Macaca fascicularis: one gene and its partner. The protein of the gene in region 1 purifies or fractionates together with the protein of each later gene. This does not show direct contact. Links are inferred from orthologs where the notes say so. Each region holds a gene or a part of one and is shown on either strand. Other genes may lie near its edges.

Evidence for each region.
Region 2: the proteins of KIF24 (region 1) and CCP110 purify together in Homo sapiens (co-immunoprecipitation; 4 studies listed by BioGRID and IntAct, with this or other methods). This does not show direct contact. The link is inferred for Macaca fascicularis from reciprocal best matches to the Homo sapiens genes KIF24 and CCP110.

The regions. Positions count from the first base shown.
Region 1 is NC_088389.1:65,075,924-65,086,923, forward strand, and holds part of KIF24 (kinesin-like protein KIF24), read left to right. Parts: intron 1-3,733; exon of another isoform or gene 3,734-3,837; intron 3,838-4,149; 5' UTR 4,150-4,174; coding exon 4,175-4,797; intron 4,798-8,692; coding exon 8,693-8,882; intron 8,883-11,000. UniProt on the Homo sapiens protein: Microtubule-dependent motor protein that acts as a negative regulator of ciliogenesis by mediating recruitment of CCP110 to mother centriole in cycling cells, leading to restrict nucleation of cilia at centrioles.
Region 2 is NC_088394.1:19,073,292-19,084,291, reverse strand, and holds part of CCP110 (centriolar coiled-coil protein of 110 kDa), read right to left. Parts: intron 10,045-11,000; coding exon 9,889-10,044; intron 5,461-9,888; coding exon 5,332-5,460; intron 1,503-5,331; coding exon 1-1,502.

The DNA of each region.
Region 1 (11,000 bases):
AAAGTGCTGGGATTACAGGTGTGAGCCACTGCGCCCAGCCAGAAAGCACTATTTTTACTTTAGGAGTTTGCTTCGAGTTTTTAAAATGGAATTCTGACTTAACAATGAATATTTTTTACATAAAGCATCTAAGATAGTGCTTGGCATAAAATATAACTCAGTACATTTTAGTTTAATCAGATCATCAAAGTAGTATGAATGTGGACTATCTGCTGGCATAATGGAATTAGCCTTTTACATAAAATGCTTTTTTAAACCATATGAAGTGTTCAGAGTGAAGTTGGTAACAATATTGTGGATATTCGGTTTCTTAAAGTTGTAAGGACCCTGAGGATGTTGCCATTAATTTGGGTGATGGTACTTGTAAAGAATTAGGAAACTCAGAGAAAATGGCTCTATGGCCACATAAGCAGGTGTCATGGAATCTTTTAATCACTTGGTTGCCTTGGGCAAAACAGTAGAGATAATGGACTTTTCTTTTTTTTTTTAAATAGAGTCTTGCTCTATTGCCAGACTGGAGTGCAGTGGCACAATCTCGGCTTACTGCACCCTTCACCTCCTAGGTTCAAGTGCCTCAGCCTCCTGAGTAGCTGGGATTATAGGCACATGCCGCCACACCCAGCTAATTTTTGTATTTTTAGTAGAGACAGGGTTTCACCATGTTGGCCAGGATGGTCTCGATCTCCTGACCTCGTGTTCCACCTGCCTTGGCCTCCCAAAGTGCTGGGATTACAGGCATGAGCCACCAGGCCCAGCCGATAATGGAACACTTCTAAATTTTTTTTTTTTTTTTAAAGACAGAGTCTCGCTGTCTCACCCAGGTTGGAGTGCAATGGCACAATCTCAGCTCACTGCACCCTCTGCTTCCTGGATTCAAGTGATTCTCCTGCTTCAGCGTCCTGAGTAGCTGGGATTACAGGCGTGCGCCACCATGCCTGAGTAATTGTTGCGTTTTTAGTAGGGGTTTCGTCATGTTGGCCAGGCTGTTCTCAAACTCCTGACCTCAGGTGATCCGCCAGGTTTGGCCTCCCAAAGTGCTGGGATTACAGGCATGAGCCACTGTGTCTGGCCCATTTCTAAATATTTTAAACGAACAGAATCTAAGCGGATACTGTTCACTTAAAATATTTGTCGTGGCCGGGCGTGATGGCTCAAGCCTGTAATCCCAGCACTTTGGGAGGCCGAGACGGGCGGATCACGAGGTCAGGAGATCGAAACCATCCTGGCGAACACAGTGAAACCCCGTCTCTACTAAAAAATACAAAAAACTAGCTGGGCGAGGTGGCGGGCGCCTGTAGTCCCAGCTACTCAGGAGGCTGAGTCAGAAGAATGGCGGAAACCCGGGAGGTGGAGCTTGCAGTGAGCTGAGATCCGGCCACTGCGCTCCAGCCAGGGCGACAGAGCGAGACTCGTCTCAAAAAAAAAAAAAAAAAATTGGTGCGCACCTATCTAGCACAGTACTTGACTGAGTGGGATCATATTGCTTTTGTCTTTAATAATTCACACAGTAGTACAAGGCAGAACCATCTTATATTATCTCTGGAACAAGACTGGCAATAAATTTTTTAAAAATGAGTATGTATATCATAAATGCCCTATCAGTTTTATCACCAAAACTCTGCAGGAGTTTAGAGAGAAGTCACATTTCCCTGGGGTAATTAAGCTAGTCAACAAATATTTATGATAGTATGAATTGTTTTTTATGCCTGTAACAAATAGCATATGAGAATGTTTATGTTAAATTAAAACATAGATTGCAATATAGTTATGAGTACAGTGTTATATACAATTTTTTAAAAGGCTAGAAAGCCATCAAAATCTTAAGAAACAATTGTATCAGGTCAATTTAGGGAGACCGAGAGGGAGGAAGGGAGGTGGAATTAGAAATATGTATAATATTTTTATTTAGAAATATATTTTTAAAATAAAAAATACAGTCACATAGTTTCAAAATTTAAAAAATAAACTGTTTTAGGTCTTGCCCTGGGTGATAGAGACACCAGTGAAATAGAAATGACAATAGGAAAGGTAGTAATAACTACCAGCATTTACAAGCATACAGTAGTTTTCCCATAATCACCCTCTACTACCTACTTCCCCTCACCCTTTCAAGACCACTATTATTGTGCATCCTTCAGTGATATTTTTTGTCTGATAAGCAAATATGTAGATTTATTATATATCATTTATCTCTCTGTTTTATAAACTGTTCTGTACCTTGCTTTAGTAACAATATATTGGATAGCTTTCTTTTTTAAATAATATTTTACAGTTTACTTACTCCTTGTAATTGTCTCATAGCATGTTTTCATTAAATGGACTATCATTATTTAACCAGTCTCTATTCCATGACTTTGCTATTACAAGCAGTGCTGTAATGAATAGCATTACACTTATGTCATTTTGTACTTGTATGTATTATCTGAAGGATAAGGATAAGTTCCTAGAGGTGGAATTGCTGGATCAGTGCATTTGCATTTGTAATTTTGATAGATATAAATCAGCGGCATACAATCATAATTACCTAGGGAACTTTTCCGAAGTTCTTATGTCTGCCCTTCCTAAAACCTGGGAGTTATTTCTGGTTGTTTTGTGGTTTTCTATAGATCTGGGATGGGGCTCAGGTATCTATATATTTTAAAGTGTCTAAACTGGGCTGGGCATGGTGGCTTATGCCTGTAACCCCCAGCACTTTGGGAGTCCGAGGTGGGTGGATCACTCGAGGTCAGGAGTTCAAGACGAGCCTGGCCAACATGGTGAAACCTCCTCTCTACTAAAAATACAAAAAAAATAGCCAAGCATGGTGGCACGCACCTGTAAATCCCAGCTACTCAGGAGGCTGAGGCAGGAGAATTGCTTGAACCTGGAGGTAGAAGTTGCAGTGACCCAAGATACCACCACTGCACTACAGCCTGGGCAACAGAGCGAGACTCCATCTCAAAAAAACAAAACAAAACAAAACAAAAACCAAATCTACCACAAATAGAAAAGGCCAGGATTAGTTTAGGATGTGTTACTCAGCCCATTTAGCCTTTTAGCCTAAGTAGTATTTCCCCCAAAGCTAATTATTCAAGGTTCTTTGATTATCTTTATTACCTTACCCTCTACTTTTTCTCTATTTCTGCTAGATAGAAGATCAAATATAAATTAAAGTGAAAACAGGAAAGTTTTACCACTAGTTACCTAACTGAATTTTTGAAAACTCTGAATTATAAAACCATTTTAAAAAAGAAAATGTAGTGTATTTACTTTTGGATATTCTCATGAACTTGATTAACAGCGATATAGAGAGCTCAGGATCCTGACTTTAATAATAGACTAGGATTATGTGTTTTTACCACATTATGTGTTAGTATTCAATTAAGTTTCTCGATGTTAAAAATTTTTAAAAACATTTAAATGTACAACTATTTAAAATCTTGACCTTAGTATTAATTTCCTGGGTAAATTATTTGATTCATATTCTGTACAGATAGAGATCGATGACCACCTTTTGGAATGATCTGAAATCCTGAATTGGTTGATGCCAAATTGATGATGTCTTCACTTCTATTTAACTAACTTTTGCCAGTACTCAGCAAATACAAATGCTATCTTCCTTTGAGTTACATTAGTTTATAATCCTCTGTGGTATGCCATTTAATTCTACTTTTCATTCTGAAAGAGTTCTTAGGCCCTGCTCATTATTCATGGGAAACAGTTGTGCAGCATGCCTTGACATTAAGTTGAGCATCTAAAATTAGTCCTGCTACAATCAGTTGTTGGGAACAAGGTTTCAATAGTTGTGGCATGTGTTAAGTAGACATTGCAAGGTTGGAAGGAACTCCCTAGAAATAAGTAAGTTATGTGTTATGTACGTGTTCATTTGTGTATCTGTGTGTATATATATATATAATGGAAGGTCTCTTTTTATTAAGCAAATTAACAAATTATGTGTTACCACAAATTCTTCATGTGCAATACAAAGCATCTTTGTTCATGCACTATGCTATTTAATTAATAATTTCACAAGAAAAATATGTTTGTTGAGAACTTGACAGATAAAACATTTTTTGCATGTTTGTGGTTTTGTGGTTTTCATTTTTTTAAATAAATAATTGTATTGCATATACTCTATTTCAAGCGAATGGCTTTTCTTTCTCTCTTCAGAGTTTATAGAAACCTATTCACCAAAATGGCATCCTGGTTATATGAATGTCTTTGTGAAGCTGAACTTGCACAGTATTATTCTCATTTCACTGCCCTTGGCCTTCAGAAAATAGATGAATTAGCCAAGATTACAATGAAAGACTACGCCAAATTAGGAGTCCATGACATGAACGACCGCAAACGTCTCTTCCAACTTATCAAAATTATTAAGATTATGCAAGAAGAAGATAAAGCAGTCAGTATCCCAGAGCGTCATCTTCAGACAAGCAGCCTGCGCATCAAGTCTCAGGAATTAAGATCTGGCCCTCGCAGACAACTGAATTTTGATTCTCCTGCTGACAATAAAGACACAAATGCCAGCAATGATGGGTTTGAAATGTGCAGTTTATCAGATTTCTCTGCATATGAACAGAAGTCCACTTACCTAAAAGTGCTAGAACACACGCTACCAGATGATTCCCAGTACCATACAAAAACAGGAATTATGAATGCCACAGCTGGTGATTCCTATGTGCAAACAGAAATCAGCACTTCACTCTTTTCACCAAATTACTTTTCTCCAATACTGGGGGATTGTGATATTCCCATTATTCAAAGAATCTCTCATGTTTCAGGGTATAACTATGGAATCCCTCATTCTTGTATCAGGTAATAAATTTTATCTTTCTTTCTTTTGAGGGAAAGTAGCCTTAGGCAAGGGCAGGCCTCTCCTTCATGTCCAGCAGACAGCATCTACTCCTTATTTACAGTAAATGAATATAACAGAAATTATCATGAACAGCTTTTGCATCAATAATAGGAATACCTGGATGTGGGAAAATTAATGAGAAATTGGGAACTTTCTAGGTGGGAGAAAGATGATATTGTTCATGTACATCAAAACAGCTGCGACTTGCCAGGATCTGTAGCAGACTTGTTTCTATTATTTATTATAGCGTAACATGATACATCTAGTACATCCGTGAAAGTAAAATAGTTAACCCTTCTACAATAGAGAAAAAAATTACACAATCCACAGAACTTTTTTAAGGTTATCAAATTCACTTAACCCAACCAGGAGACTTAAAGATGCTTTGTTAAAAACAAGGGCATGTAGTTTAATTAAGTAGGTCTTTGGAGCAGTTAGTTCACCTGCACACATTGAAATACGATCCTGATTTTGAGTGCTTTCTATAGTTTCAACCCTGGAAAAAACAATTTTGGTGGTTACAAACAGTAAGACATTGTAGGTGGAGATTAGAGTTTGAGAGTCAGGGTGACAATAAGTTATTTTCACCTAGTGCTTCGAGTTAGAGTTTGAAATAAGGTCCCTAAGAGGTGAAATAACAAGTAATCCCTACTACTAACAATGGTATAGTAGGAAATATGTTCTTGTAAAAAAAAAAAAAAATTCCTTGTTTTATTTTAAATGTTATGTATGTTAGTTATGGGAAAATAAAATTCATTCTTGAGCCATATTTTCTTTTTAAAAATACTATTATTCATACCTTAAGATAAAGTATTTGTATCTGGTCTTACATTGGCTAAGGTTTCAGAAGATCTCATAATCAGTTCTTTACTCCATAAAAATAGAAGACTCAGTTTAAACAGTAAAAATATCTTTAATAATTTGAAATATATCAGTGAATTTTTATAGTATTTCTGGAAACATTTTGTTTGGTCTAGGAGATCACAGAGCATGTAATACTGTTTTCTTCTTTTAATTCTGAGAGGAATAGATTGTTCCTTGACTATGAAGGCAGATTGTTGCTATTCTGTTGGTTACCTCAGTGGTAAAGGAGTAAATACTTTCTTTTTTTTTTTTTCAAGATGGAGTCTCACACTGTCGCCCAGGCTGGAGTGCAGTGGCGCGATCTTGGCTCACTGCAAGCTCCGCCTCCCGGGTTCACGCCATTCTGCCTCAGCCTCCCGAGTAGCTGGGACTATAGGCGCCCGCCACCATGCCTGGCTAATTTTTTGTATTTTTAGTAGAGATGGGGTTTCAGCATGGTAGCCAGGATGGTCTCAATCTCCTGACCTTGTGATCCGCCCACCTCTGCCTCCCAAAGTGCTGGGATTACAGGCGTGAACCACTGCGCCCGGCCTATTTTCTTGAATATTACTTTTTTATTGAATAATACATAAAAATCTAAATTGGAATTACTTATAAATAAAAATACCGCTTTGCATTATTTAAAAACATCAAGGATAGGATGGATATTTTAGTTTAACCATTACCATTTCATTTATTTGACTCTTTGTTTGTTTGTTTTATAGAGACAAGGTCTTGCTCTGTTACCAAGGCTGGAGTGCAGTGGTGCAGTATTGCCCACTGCAGCATCAAACTCCTGAGGTCAAGCGATCCTCCTGCTGCAGCCACCCAGGTAGCTAGGACTACAGGTACACACTACTGTCCCCAGCTAATTTTTTAATTTTTTGTAGAGATGGGGATCTCACTATGTTACCCAGGCTGGTCTTGAACTCCTGACCTCAAGTGATCCTCCCACCTAAGCTTCCCAAAGCACTGGGATTACAGGTGAGAGCCACTCCACCCTGCCCAAACTGAGCTTTTTAGAAAACATGCATGTCTTTTTGCCCCTTGAACTTGAAAACTATGGGCCTTTTGTTCATATGAGTCATCCTTGAGCCCTGGGCAATTTTAAAAAGGACTAAACATTTTCTGTACTGTTTGATCAACTTTATATGATTAGGTTATTGATATCCAACAACTAAAGATTTTAACACAAAACCCTTATTAAAATGATACATTAGGCCAGGTGCAGTGGCTCACACCTGTAATCCCAGCACTTTGGAGTCCAAGCCAGGTCGATCGCCTGAAGTCAGGAGTTCAAGACCAGCCTGGCCAACATGGCTAAACCCTATCTCTACTAAAAATACAAAAATTAGCTGGGCGTCATGGCAGGTGCCTATAATCCCAGCTATTCTAAAGGCTGAGGTAGGAGAATTGCTTGAACCCAGGAGGCAGAGGTTGCAGTGAGCCAAGATTGTGCCACTGTACTCCAGCCTGGGTGACACAGCGAGACTCTGTCTCAAAAATAAAAAAAAATTTAAAAAATTAAAATTTTTCATTTTTGATGAGCACAGTGGCTCATACCTGTAATCCTGGCATTTTGGGAGGCCAAGGCAGGCAGATTGCTTGAGTCCAGGAGTTCGAGGCCAGCCTGGGCAACATGGTGAGACCCTGGCTCTACAAAAATTAGCCAGGCATGGTGGTGTGCACCTGTAGTTCCAGCTACTATTGGCTGAAGTGGGAGGATGGCTTCAGCCCAGGAGGTTGAGGCTGCAGTGAGCTGTGCTCACACCACTGCACTCCAGTCTCGGTGATAGAGCAAGACCCTGTCTCAAAACAAAACAAAACAAAAAATTCTGTTTTCTTGTGAAAAATCAAACATATGCAAAAGAAGAAAAAATAGAACACTGAATCCCAATATGTCCGTCATCCAGTTTCTTTTTCTTTTTCTTTTTTTTAAGACAGAGTCTTGCTCTGTTGCCCAGGCTGAAATGCAATGGCACTATCTCACCTGTGAGCTCCACCTCCTGGGTTTAAGTGAGCACATCCGGCTAAGTTTTATATTTTTAGTAGAGATGGGGTTTCACCACGTTGGCCAGGCTGGTCTTGAACTCCTGACCTCAAGTGATCTGCTCGCCTCAGCCTCTCAAAGTGCCAGGATTACAGGCGTGAGGCACTGCACCTGGCCCATCGTCTAGTTTTAATGATTGTCAAGATTTTCCCACGGTACCTCAAAATGGTACATTTCATTCTTTATTCCACCTGCAGTTTCATGCAAAAATGATGCATTTTAAAGTCACTAAATGTTGGTTAAGAAAATAAAATTTGCTTTAAAACATGCCATAAAAGTAGTGCTTTATGCATTATATTAGAAAATTATTTGCTGTTTTTTTTTTTTTTTTTTAACCAATTCAGATCCCAGTAAAAAAATAATTTTCCAGGCTGGGCGTGATGGCTCATGCTTGTAATCCCAGCACTTTGAGAGGCCAAAGTGGGAGGATTGCTTGAGGCCATAAGTTCAAGACCAGCCTGGGCAAGATAGTGGGACCCTGTCCCTACAAAAATTACAAAAATTAGCCAGCTATGGTGGTGTATGCCTATAGTCCTAGCTACTCGGGAGGCTAAGGTAGAATTGCTTGAACCCAGGAGGTCGAGGCTGCAATGAGCCGTGGTTATGCCAATGCATTCCAGCCTCCATGACAGAAATTTTTTTTCAGCAGCCAGTTGGAGGGCTAAGAAGATCAGAATTGATGTGAAACAATTGTATAAAATAGTATCCTATATAAGATCTCTTAGGGGTTTTTTTGTTTGTTGATTGGTTTTTGTTGTTCTGTTTTTTATGTTTTTGCAGGGGAAGAGGTGGAGTAGGGTGGGGATGGAGATAGAAGAACTTTCTCAGGGTTGACCCTTTACTTTGTAACTTTAAGAAATATATTATGCCTAATATACAGCAAAATGTACCCATACTTTGACCTGTTAAGTAATCTTGTCCTATTATTAAAAATTAAAAGCCTGTTTATAAACATATATTAGACAGAACACTTCAGAGAAACAGAATCCTTGGACTGAGATGGAGAAAATCAGAGTTTGTGTTCGAAAACGCCCCCTGGGCATGAGGGAGGTACGTCGTGGAGAAATTAATATTATTACTGTAGAAGATAAAGAAACTCTACTTGTGCATGAGAAGAAAGAAGCAGTTGACCTCACTCAATATATTCTGCAGGTATGATGTTTTCCTTTTATGTTTGGAACTAATATTATCAAGTATGTCGTTGTTTTATTTTTTTTGCTTTTTGTTTGAGTGATGGCATATAGGTTTCTGTTAGAACACAGAAAATCATGTTTCTGGTTTGGGTGTTGACATTCATTCCTGATGTGACACTGTTTTAAGTCATTGATATCCAGGGCCTTCATTTTTTTAAAAAGATGGTGCAATAGGGAATACAAAAACAATTTCTCTTGTGCAGTGGAGCTACATCATATATTCACTTAACATGCTTTGTGTGAATTTAATTATACATATTCAGCAAAAAAAAAAAGAGGGATGAAGGAATAAAAATAATTTAAATAATGAAGTGGAGCCAGGTGTGGTGGCTCATGCCTATAATCCCAGCGCTTTGGGAGGCTGCAGCAGGAGGATCACTTGAGCTGGAGAGTTTGAGACCACCCTGGGCACCATAGCGAGACCCTGTCTCTCCAGAAAAAAATTTAAAACTAGCCTAGCATGGTGGTGTGTACCTGTAGTGTTAGCTACTCAGGAGGCTGAGGTGGGAGGATCACTTGAGCCCAGGAGTTCTGCATTACAGTGCACTATGATTGCACCACTGCACTCCAGCCTGGGCAACAGAGGGAGGATCTGCCTCTAAAATAATATAAAAATAAAAAACAAATAAATAATTAAGTAGTTGTCAACAGGACCAGTCACTGAATATATGCCCCAGAGTGACTATGAGATGTCACACAGTTGATTTCCATTCTTGCTTGCATCTCATAGTGTGAACTTCTCATCTGCTGAGTTTGAGACTTGGGTTTAATGATGAACAATATCTTTTTGGGCAGCAGGACCCACAGTTGCCAGCCATGTGCTTATTTTCATTCTCAGCTGTCTTGGGCTTATAATTAATTGGTGAAAATTGGGCTCTGAGCAGACCACTTTATACAGGGTAGACTGCAGTGGGTAAATATAATCCAAGGATACGATTTCACATCTACCATATAAGGGTTTAAATAAAACACTAATAACTCAGACATGTAAATAATGTTCACTACCTGCTAGAGTGATTATGAAGAGTCGAAGGAGAAAGAGTTTGGTATTGAAAGGAACTTACTCCAAGCTGAAGGTACCTTGCAATAATTATCTAGTCTCATAGGGAAACAGCAAACTCCACAGATGGAAAGAATCATCACTTAGGTACTCCTAAGACTGTGAAACAATTGTGAGTAATCTAAAACCAGATAATCCATCAGATGTTAAGATTTACGAATACACAGTTTCTCTTACTCTGAATCTACTTCCCTAAACATTCATATTATATTTATTCTTTCTCTCTCTTGTTCTCTTGCCTCAAAACTGAGTAGCTGGTAGAGAGAAAAAAAATGTGGTATGCTAGCAAGTCACCTTAGCTGAGATCTTACATTAGTGGAATAAATCCTTTAATGCTGAAGTCAAATTTGTTAACACTTTCCCCCACTTTCTAACTTGTATTGTTCTTCTTTTTCTTTGGTTACCAAAATTGCGTTTCACAGTGATATTCAGAGTAATCCACTGAGTGTTTCTATTGGTACTAAATTATTAGGCCGCTGTAAAACCAACCCAATCACTTTAACAGCCTTATCGATTGCTGATCAATGCATGGTCTATTAGGTCTCAGTGGGAGATATTTATTTTGAAAATGGACTAAATGACCAATTAGTTGTAATGCTATCTAGTTCCATGGCTACTTATAGCCATCGTAATAGCCCTATCCAATCACTGTCTAAGACTTCCTTAATGATGCCTCTGTCACAGTAATTCCCTCAAGGAGGCATCATCTTATCTTTTGTATTTTTCTGTTATCCCCAAACACAATAACCTTACTTTTTGTCATTACCACTGGTCAATACTTATTGAATACCCATAGTTTCCATGGCACTTTCTCTGCTGTTTGAACTTTGGACCTTTGCTCTCATAGGTCCGAGTCCTTACCTGTCAATGCTATGATATAAAAATGTTGGGAGGACTTCTTTTTCTTTTTTCTTCCTCAAATATAAAGAAGAAAAGGTAGGTTTATAGCAAACTGGGTGGTAAATAAATATTGATCGTAGATTCTTTGGGTTTTATTTTTAAGCATATTTAGAGATA
Region 2 (11,000 bases), on another chromosome or scaffold:
TCCAAATCAAGTCTCCGTTTAACTTTCTCAAAACTGTTATCCAAAAATTGTTCATTTCCACAGGACACCATAGGTGTGTCCATCTGCTGTCTCATATTCTGGTTTTGCATCAATAAAGGAGAAGGGTTTTTTACATCATAAGACTTATTCAGTTCCGTTTGCAAACTGCAGTTTTTCTCTAACATATTGGCTGGCTTGAGTCCACTCACAGTTCCAAAGTTTGGACTTGCTATACACTGACTGCTGGCATATGGTTCATGCAGCTTTGGCATCACAGTGCAGGTACTGTTCATTTTGTGTGCACCTCTCTCTTCGGATGTTAACTGACCTTCCACAGTAGCAAGTCCATGAGTAACTTTATTTTCTAAATGATTTCCTGAAGATTGACATACCTGATTTGATTTACCTAAAACCACATCTTCTTTGACTTCAAATGTATTTTTGCCCACATAAACCTTGCTTGAACAAACTCCTGCTAAATCAATTGGTAACTTTGGCAGAATTTCGGGCACATTTGTTTTTTCATCAGTATCTTGAACAATTAAGTCCATTGCCTGTTCTTTTCCTTTAGGGCTTAATTCACAGGCATTTATTGGGTTATTTATAAGTATATGACATGCTGATGATGTCCTGGAACGTCTTCGGTGCATTTTAGGACTCATACTTGGCTCTGGACTAGGTAATTTGGCATATGAACCTGTAAGACTTTTGATAACATTATTTTCAGTAACAAAAGTGGGAATAACTTTAAAATCAGAATTAGACTCTAGAACAGTGGAATGGCCAGTTCGTACAGGTATGTCCACTTTCGAAAAGCTAGCTAAAACTGGCATACTCATGCTGCTTGCTTGAGTGGAAGCACCTTGGAGAAGAACATTTGATTTATTAAGGCTTGGTTTGTCAGGAATAACTGAGACACAGTGTTTGCCTGTCAACTGGGCCTTCTCTTTTACACAGTCAGCCACTTTAACAGCATCATTTTCTTTGTCTATATGACTCTCATTAACAATTCTCATCATACTACCTTTCAGACTGTGTCTAGATTGTTCTCTTTCTATATATTCCTTTGACTTTTTCATCAGATTCTGAAGACTCATTACATAGGGATCTGGGGTGACTTCTGCCAAAAGTGGTAGATCCTGTTGTTCATTTACTGAGAAGAGACCATCAGAAATAAGAGTTTCTTGTGGAGTTGCTGAAGAGGTCTTTGGAAAAGCTTCATTTTCTACATGACTAATATTGGAACTATCACATTGCTTCGGAGAATTAAATCCTTCTGAATCTCTAGCTAAGTCTGTTCCATTAGTTTTACATTGGTCCTCATTATCCAGTGGCAAAATCCCAGCTATCTTATCAAGCTTTGCTGCAGTAGAGTGTTCGGTATGGCTTGGAAAGCTATTTGGAAATGTAGCAGGAACATTCAAGTTTCTGACTTCTGAATTAGAGTAAACCGTTTCCATCTCCCACTGATCAAAATCACTGGCATTAGGTGCTTTTCTAACCTGAAACAGGAAATTTAAAAATTAGTATTTCCTCATTGCACAAAGTCTCTGATTTCACTGTTTTCTAAAATGAAATTGAAGATTCAGAATTCTGACATTTCAAAACATAAAGAAAAACTAAGATGACAGGTTTCTATGGTATCCTGTATCACAGGGGGCTCAAATTATTATTGAAAAAACACCCACTGGTCATCCTGCCTAAGTTATTAAAAGACTTATGAAAAGAAACTTATCTAATCTGATACAAATATGAACATATATATGTGTATACACACACAGATATATTCATATATCCATGTGCAATTTAATCTTAGAATAGAAGCACTTTCCTTAAATTTCTTCTATTCATGTTATTAACATTACCAACTGTTCCTCGTAGGATAGGTATCATCCAAGGATAATAATATATGCAATAAACAGCAAGTAATGAAATGTCTTACATAAATGATTCCCTCTCTAACAAAAACTAACTTGTCCAGGACACTGATTAAGCAAAACTGATTCAGTAATAAGACTCCTGCACCCACATGCTTACTCCAAAATTTAACTAAAATCCCTCCATAAAATGAGGGAAATTTGTAGTAAACAATAGCCCAGCCATGAAGCTTAAATTATTTAGAAATAAGAAATATTTGAACTTAAAACTCAATTCATTAAAACAAAATCCAATTTGATTCATTGATGCTTAGTTAAAACAGCAAGTTGTTAATGAATTTCGGAACAGCCAAAATAGGTAAACATTTGGTAGATGATAAAGATGAGAACTACATATATGAGAAAAAGAAACATAAAATATATGTAAAGCTGGGAGAGGTGGCTCATGCCTGTAATCTCAGCAGTTTGGGAGGCCAAGGCAGGTGAATTGCTTGAGTCTAGGAGTTCGAGACCAGCCTGGCCAACATGGCAAAACTCCATCTCTACAAAAAATACAAAAATTGGCCAGGCATGGTGGCAGGCACTGGTAATCCCAACTACTCAGGAGGCTGAGGCAGGAGAATCACTTGAACCCAGGTGGCGGAGATTGCAGTGAGCTGAGATCACACCACTGCACTCCATCCTGGGTGACAGAGTGAGACTCTGTCTCAATAAATAAATAAATAAATATAAAAATAGATATTTTGTATCTAAATGATCCAACTTTGCAAAAGAATAAAAAGAGAACTACGATGGCTTCTAAAGGTAATTATACATCCGTATATTAAACTGGCAAAAATCATAGTATTATCATATGAATATAGACATCAAAAGCCTGAATATTGGCCCGGTGCGGTGGCTCACGTGTGTAATCCCAGCACTTTGGGAGGCCAAGGCGGGCGGATCATGAAGTCAGGAGATCGAGATCATCCTGGCTAACATGGTGAAACCCCATCTCTACTAAAAATATAAAAAATTAGCTGGGCTTGGTGGTGGGTGCCTGTAGTCCCAGCTACTCGGGAGGCTGAAGCAGGAGACTGGCATGAACCCAGGAAGCGGAGCTTGCAGTGAGCCGAGATCGCGTCACTGCACACCAACCTGGGCAACAGAGTGAGACTCCGTCTCAACAACAACAAAAAAAGCCTGAATATTACAATATTTTTTGGTTGTTTTGTATGTGTTTATTTTTTTCTAGACCACATGGCTCTCCTATTTTACCTTACAAATCCCAAGACAGGTAATGGTTTCCAGGTACTATGCAATACACAGTACAACAAGACATACTTAGTCACAACCTCAGGACCAAAATAAAACAAAAAAGATGCAAAATGGTTTCCAGGTACTATGCAATCAACAGTACAAGACATACTTAGTCACAGCCTCAGGACCAAAATAAAACAAAAAGGATGCATATTTACGAAATCCATGAACATGTTCACAGGTTTAAGTAAAACAGATGATTTCCTTATATAAAATATTTCACATTTGTGATATTCGGAAGCTATGTTGTTTATACGTCACTAAAATGAGCCTTTAGTTAGACAAGCTAAATAACAACAAGAAAAAACTCTATCATAGAATCTTAGGTTTTACAGGTGAAGCAGAAATCTAATTGTTTTATATAAAATTTTCCTATCTGAGTAATTAATTCATTACAGTTCAACATTATATATGCTCTTTTAACAATTTTATTAGTAGTATATTTTATCTTCCCTCAATGGACCAAAAATGATACGCCATTTTCGTATCAATCACAGGAAATATCTAGTAAGTAAAAAACTCACCTCTTATAGTTAAATTAGCACTACTCAATCCATTTTTTAAACTTAATACGGACAGTAATGAAATCTACTACCCACACACTATATACTACTGTGAAAGGGAAATAAAATCTCAGGACCCCAAACTCAACTATGTCAAATGAGAGTCACTATAACTCTCAGACTGTGTCTAGATTGTTCTCTTTCTATATATTCCTTTGACTTTTTCATCAGATTCTAAAGACTCATTACATAGGGATTTCAAGTAACTGAAATGGAAAATCACATGTCAAAGGAAAAAGTAAAGCTTAGGAACTGAGTCACACAAAAACTGCTTTCCTTTTATTCCTAAACAGATAGCTGCAAAATAGAAGGCCACCTATCTACCCAGGTAGCCTCTCTTGCAAATTGCTCACAAGGAAATTCCTTGTAGGCCCCAAAATCTTTACACCAACCCAGAGTTCTGCTGAATCTCACTCTGACAAGATACTGACAAAGACCAAAGATGACTAGAAATCATCCCTTTGGAGACAAATGTATATTTGACTTCTCCTCTACTCTGTTTACTTTATCCTATGTAAAATGCAGATTTATTGAGCTTGAGATGAATGCATAGCTGACTGTTCCTCTACCCCCACCTTTCACATGTGACACGTGGATTCAGTGAGTGCTAATCAAAACCTCACAAAAATGTGACCACTTATCTCACTACCTACCCTACATTTTTTTTCTTTCCTCTTTCCCCTCCTGCTGTTCTTTCCCCTTTAAATACTGAAGTCCTCAAAACCTCTTTTGGAAAAGCACAAGCCACAGATCCTACTGCAACTTTTGTCTCTTTTTCCTTGGCACATCCTCAACCTTGGCAAAACAAACCTCTAAATCGATTGAGACTCGCTTCAGTCATTTTCTTTGGTTTACACTACCAACAGAGAAATGAGCCCTTAAGGTTCATTATACATGTGTCATCTAATACGAATTATACAGACAAACCACAAACTCTTAAGATTATGAAAAAACAAAAAGATGTTATACAGCAGAACACTCCTACATGTTGTAGAAATTATTCGTTCGATCTAATTCATTTGTTTTTCTTTTTAGTACAAAATGATCCACATGTCAGAACAAATTGTTTATACAAATCTAAAAATAACTGCACAAGGTGTAGATGTGTTGTTTAAATAGTTTTTAGACAGGATGCATCTAAACAATTCAACGTATCTAAACTGCATTTTGTGTATCTAAGAGCAGAATTTTCACCAAAAAAAAATTGGGGGCAGTTATTTACTTAAGCAAAGAATGAGAATAAGGTAATTTAGTCAATAGTCTAATTAGTTTGGCCAATAATGCCCAATTCTATCATTTTGTCACTGAGAATTCAATGTTTTTAGAATCACAAAATGCAAACAATAAGCAATTATATTCAGTGTATGGTTCCATTGTGCAAATATCCTCTGATTCAAGTACTGGGCAACACTAACAAGCAAGTGCATTCTCTTTGGAGTAACTGAAATGGAAAATCACAAATTATGAAGCTTCTCAAACTAACAGTAAAGTACATTAGTAATTAGTTAAGTGCAAATATATTTCAGAAAAATTATCATCAATGCTTATCTTATTATTTCTGTATTATAACTGAAACTGCATAAATCACACACCTGAACATTGTCAAGAATCTCCTGGACACGAGTCAGTAAAGTTTTCTTCCTGTTAACCTGCTTTCTTGCTTCTACATCAAGTGCTTTCTGCTTTTCTTGTTGCATTTCCTTTCTTTTCTCAACGTTAAGCTGCAAAACATCATAAAAATGTAATTATTTCCCACGATAAAAATATCATAAAATTGGGAAGTTCTGAATCACAAAGATGAAAAACATGTGCAACAGGCAAAACTAATCTACAGTGAAAGAAATCAGAACAGTGGTCTGGGTACTGAGTGGGATGGGGCATTAGAGATCTTTCCATGGTGAAGAAAATATCCTGTGTGGGTGTGAGTTATACATGTGTATGCCATATATCAAAACTCATGGAACTTTAACACTTCAGATCTGTGTATTTTGCTATGTGTAAATTATTTTCAATTAAAAAGTTAAAAAGAAAAAAAGTTTGTTCACTAATCAAATGTTCTAAAATGACAGAAATAAAATTAAAGCCCTTTTGGCCACTGCTGAGTTTTTTATTACTTCACTTGAATACTGACTTGAATATTACTTCACATTCAGTATCCTTTTTTTTTTTTTTTTTTTTGAGACTGAGTCTTGCTCTGTCACCCAGGCTGGAGTGTAGTGGTGCGATCTCGGCTCACTGCAACCTCTGCCTCCTGGGTTCAAGCAATTCTCCTGCCTCAGCCTCCTGAAGAGCTGGGATTACAGGCATGCACCACCACACCCAGCTAATTTTTGTATTTTTAGTAGAGATGGGGTTTCACCATGTTGGTCAGGCTGGTCTCGAACTCCTGACTTTGTGATTCGCCCACCTCGGCCTCCCAAAGTGCTGGGATTACAGGTGTGAGCCACCGCGCCTGGCCCACGTTCAGTATCTTATTTTACTGGGTCAATTGGATTCTACAACTTTTAATTTTCTAACCAGTGCACAATTTAACTCTTTGCTGCCTCAAAAAATGTCCAAAGGTTTAATGATAAAAGAAACAGATAATGTATTATTTGCCTACAAAATCAGAACACGTCTTTTCTTTCACCTCACTCTACCTTCCGATAAAAATATAATGTACCTAAAAAATGGAAGGCTTCTAAGCATTGTATCTCTTTATAATGGATTTCAATCTTAATTATTAAGTCCTAGGAAATTAAGTCACTGTTAACAGTCAAGACTTATTGTAGACTTACACAAATAGAAAATATATCATTAAAAATTATTTCAAAAGTTGCAATATTCACCTATCAAATACAACATAAAAATGTGGATTAGGTCCATAAACATCAGATTTTGCTTACAAATAACTAACAGATGGAGTCATAGACACCATACAACAAGCCTCAGACATTTTGGTCCACATTAAATCAAGCAATATGTTATCAAATAGCTGGCAAATATGTTGTTTTAAAACTTTTTCCTAATGCATGGTACAAAAGAATCATTATACAATTTACTTGCTAATCAAGAGGAGAAAATGCGTACTTTAAAGAGCCATCTGGCAGTCACTACTGTAAGCAAGTGTTCAAACTAAACATCACTAATAGAGGGCAACTAAACATTATGCAACTTCTGATTTAACTTAGTATGAAGTGTAGGGCATCATCTCCAAAGAATTCCTTATTATTTATTTTTTTGTTTTTGAGATGGAGTCTCAGGTTAGAGTACAGTGGTGCAATCCTGATCCCTCCTGGGTTCAAGCAATTCTCCTGCCTCAGCCTCCCGCACAGCTGGGATTACAGGCAACCGCCGTCATGCCCAGCTAATTTTTATATTTTTAGTAGACAAGGGGTTTCGCCATGTTGGTCAGGCTGGTCTCAGCCTCCCAATGTGCTGGGATTATACTCATGAGCCACCCCGTCCAGCCCCATCTTCAAAGAATTCCAAAAATCTTTTAACCTGTTTATCAAACTTCACTTCCAGTTCATAGGAACTACAGGGACTAGAGAAACAAGTTAAATATCACTATTAGGAAATGATGAGACAAATCCAAGATCTAAGGAATTCTACAAGACAATAGCTCTGGTCTCTTTAAAAATTCAGTATCACAGTTTTGGTTTTTTTAAAAGATAGTATCTCACTCTGTCACCCAGGTTGCAGTGCAGTGGCATGATCAGGGCTCACTGCAGCCTCAGTCTCCTGGGCTCAAGTGGTCCTCCCACCTCAGCCTCTAGAGCAGCTGAGACTACTGGTGCACGCCACTACACCCGGCTGATTTTTGTATTTTGTGTAGGTATGAGATTTCACCCTGTTGCCCTGGCTGGTCTCAAACTCTGGGGATTAAGCAATGCAATACACCCACCTCAGCCTCCCAAAGTGCTGAGATTACAGGCGTGAGGCACCATGCCCAACCAATAAAAAAAATTGTTTTTAAGACATAGAGGAACTGTTCTAGATTAAAATAAAGAAACATAACAAGCAAATACTAATTATGAACTTTGGATCCAGATTGGGGGAATAAAGTTATAAAAGGCATTTTGAGCACAAATGGAAAAATTTAAATATGAACAGAATTATTAGACATTATTAAAAATTATTAATTTTCTTAAGATGTGATAATGGTATTGGGGCTTTATATATGAGAATGTCCTTATTTTTAAGAGATGTATACCAAAATATTTAGGGAAGCAGTGTTAGGTCTTTGTGGTTTTCAAATAGCTAGGCAATTTTTTAAAACGTATGTATGTACACACACACATACATGTATATAAAAATCACAAACACAATAAAGCAAAGATGACAAAAATGTTAAATATTGTTTAATCTAATGGTAAATCTACGGTAGGTCACTGCACTATCCTTTCAATTTTGCTGTATATTTGAAAGTTTCATTACAAAAAGTTGGCAGTTAGCTCTGGTGTCTTTAAAAATTCAATTAAATTGGCCGGGCGCGGTGGCTCAAGCCTGTAATCCCAGCACTTTGGGAGGCCGAGACGGGCGGATCACGAGGTCAGGAGATCGAGACCGTCCTGGCTAACACGGTGAAACCCCGTCTCTACTAAAAAATACAAAAAACTAGCCGGGCGAGGTGGCGGGCGCCTGTAGTCCCAGCTACTTGGGAGGCTGAGGCAGGAGAATGGCGTGAACCCGGGAGGCGGAGCTTGCAGTGAGCTGAGATCCGGCCACTGCACTCCAGCCTGGGTGACAGAGCAAGACTCCGTCTCAAAAAAAAAAAAAAAAAAAAAAAAATTCAATTAAATTAATTAAAATTAATCTCTTAACTCCTGTTATACCAAAACATAAATTTAAAGCTCACTTTTTTCTAATATTAGTTTGTGATTTAAAATAAAGTCATATACATTTTAAAATATCCAATTAGTATCAAACGGTATATGATGAAGTGTCTTCCCTATTATCCTATATTCTCTCACCACTCCCCAGAAAAGGAATAGCCATCCTTTAAAAAACCCAAATGGTTAACTTATATTGGGTACCTCTTATGATCCAGGTGGTATTCTAACCATTTTATAACTATGCATTCATTTAATCTTCAAAATAGCCTTATGAGATAGGCACTATTTTATCCCCATTTAACAAATAAGAAAATGGGCCACAAGTTTACACAGCAAGTAAGTAGCAAAGCAATGATTTGGACCAGGCCAGAAGGCTCCAGAGCCTAGGCTTTTGTTTTTCTTTTTTTCCTTCTTTTGGGACAGGGTCTTGCTCTGTAGCCCAGGCTGGAGATTTTTTCCTTCTCTTGGGACAGGGTCTTGCTCTGTAGCCCAGGCAACAGCGCAATCCTGGCTCCCTGTAGCCTGGAACTCCTAGGTTCAAGGAATCCTTCCACCTTAGCCTTCGAGTAGCTGGGACTACAGGCACATGTCACCACGCCTGCCTAATTTTTTAAAATGTTTTTGTAGAGATGAGGTTTCACTATGTTAACCAGGCTAGTCTTGAATTCCTGGTCACAAGCAATCCTTTCCCTTCCAGCCTCTCAAATAACTGGGACTATAGATGTGAGCCACCGTGCCTGGTCCACAGCCTGGACCTCTAATCGTGACTCTATACTGCCCCTGACAGCATGCTGCACACAGTGTTTTACACTAGATCATCAAGATCCTTCCATGCCTCAACATTTACATCTGCCTTACTGTAATGGTAAGTAAGAGATTTTATAAAATGGACCACAGTTAAACTACTCCACTACTGATGGACATTTAGGTTGTTCGTCAACCTTTGCTATTTTAAACAATGCTAATGTAACTCTGTACTTACTTCTTTAGGCTCACGTATAATTGTAGGATACACCCCAAAATGGAACTGCTGACTCAAAGGCTATGTATGCTTTTAAATTCTACCAAACTCTCATCTAGAAATAAAATAAACTGATTCTCTTAGCAAAAGTGCATTAAAAGTGCATTTTCTCCACAGTCTAAGGAACACAAGGTTCTATTAGCTCTTTGTCAATCTATAATAGTAAGTAAAAAATGCTAATTCATTTGCATTTCTCTAATTCTAAATAAGGGCAGCTCTTCGAATGTTTATAAGCCTTTCTTTTGTTTTTCCATGAACTGTTTTAGTTGTTCACTACAGAAAAAAACTATTTAAAAACAAAGCAAGTTTACCAGTGGAGAAAGGATAGCCACTCCATGAAAGCGAATAAGTGAGATACTTTCAGACTGAGTAGGGAGAAAGCTCTCTGTGGATAGTGATGCTTCTTGTATTCTGGCAAGACTTTTTTCACAGAACTTCTCATACTCCTCCATCTTCCCACAGTCACACTACAAGAGAGAAAAATGTTATTTTTAATGTATTGGGAAAAACAGATCTTATTTGGCAGATTTTGCAGAGCATGAGAGAGTCCCTATAATTCACAATTCCTATAACTGGTCCTCCCAGAATTGTCTTACTAAGGCTGGGCGCGGTGGCTCAAGCCTGTAATCCCAGCACATTGGGAGGCCAAGACAGGTGGATCACTAGGTCAGGAGATCGAGACCATCCTGGCTAACACGGTGAAACCCCGTCTGTACTAAAAAATACAAAAAACTAGCCGGGCGAGGTGGCGGGCGCCTGTAGTCCCAGCTACTCAGGAGGCTGAGACAGGAGAATGGCCCGAACCCGGCAGGCGGAGCTTGCAGTGAGCTGAGATCCGGCCACTGCACTTCAGCCTGGGCGACAGAGCGAGACTCCATCTCAAAAAAAAAAAAAAAAAAAAAAAAAAAAAAAAGAATTGTCTTACTAATCAGGAGCTAATTCTTGTGTATGGTAATTCACCTCAAGAACATGTCCAATTAAGATGTCCTTGATATATTAAATATTTCTGAATATTATTGCATGTAAATCAATCTTTAAATGGGATTAATTTAGCTAAGAATTCATAACCTTCTTAAAGAAAACTAAGTTCTGTACACCTTTACTAACTTCAGATTGTAAAATAGGATATTATATTTTCTTTAACAGGACTTATCTACACAAGAAAAACTATATCATACAAAGGTAGAAACACTGTAGTAAAAAAGCCTACTTAAATCAAAGAATATTTACTTTTAAAAATTTTCTACTTTGAAGTTCAAAGGTTACTTTTTTTTTTTTTTAAAGAGATAGGGTCTCACTATGTTGCCCAAATTGGATTCCAGTGACTATTCACAGGTTCGATCACAGTGCACTATAGTCTCAAACTCCCAGACTCAAGCAATCCTCCTGCCTCAATTTGCCTATCTTAACACTATACTTGGAC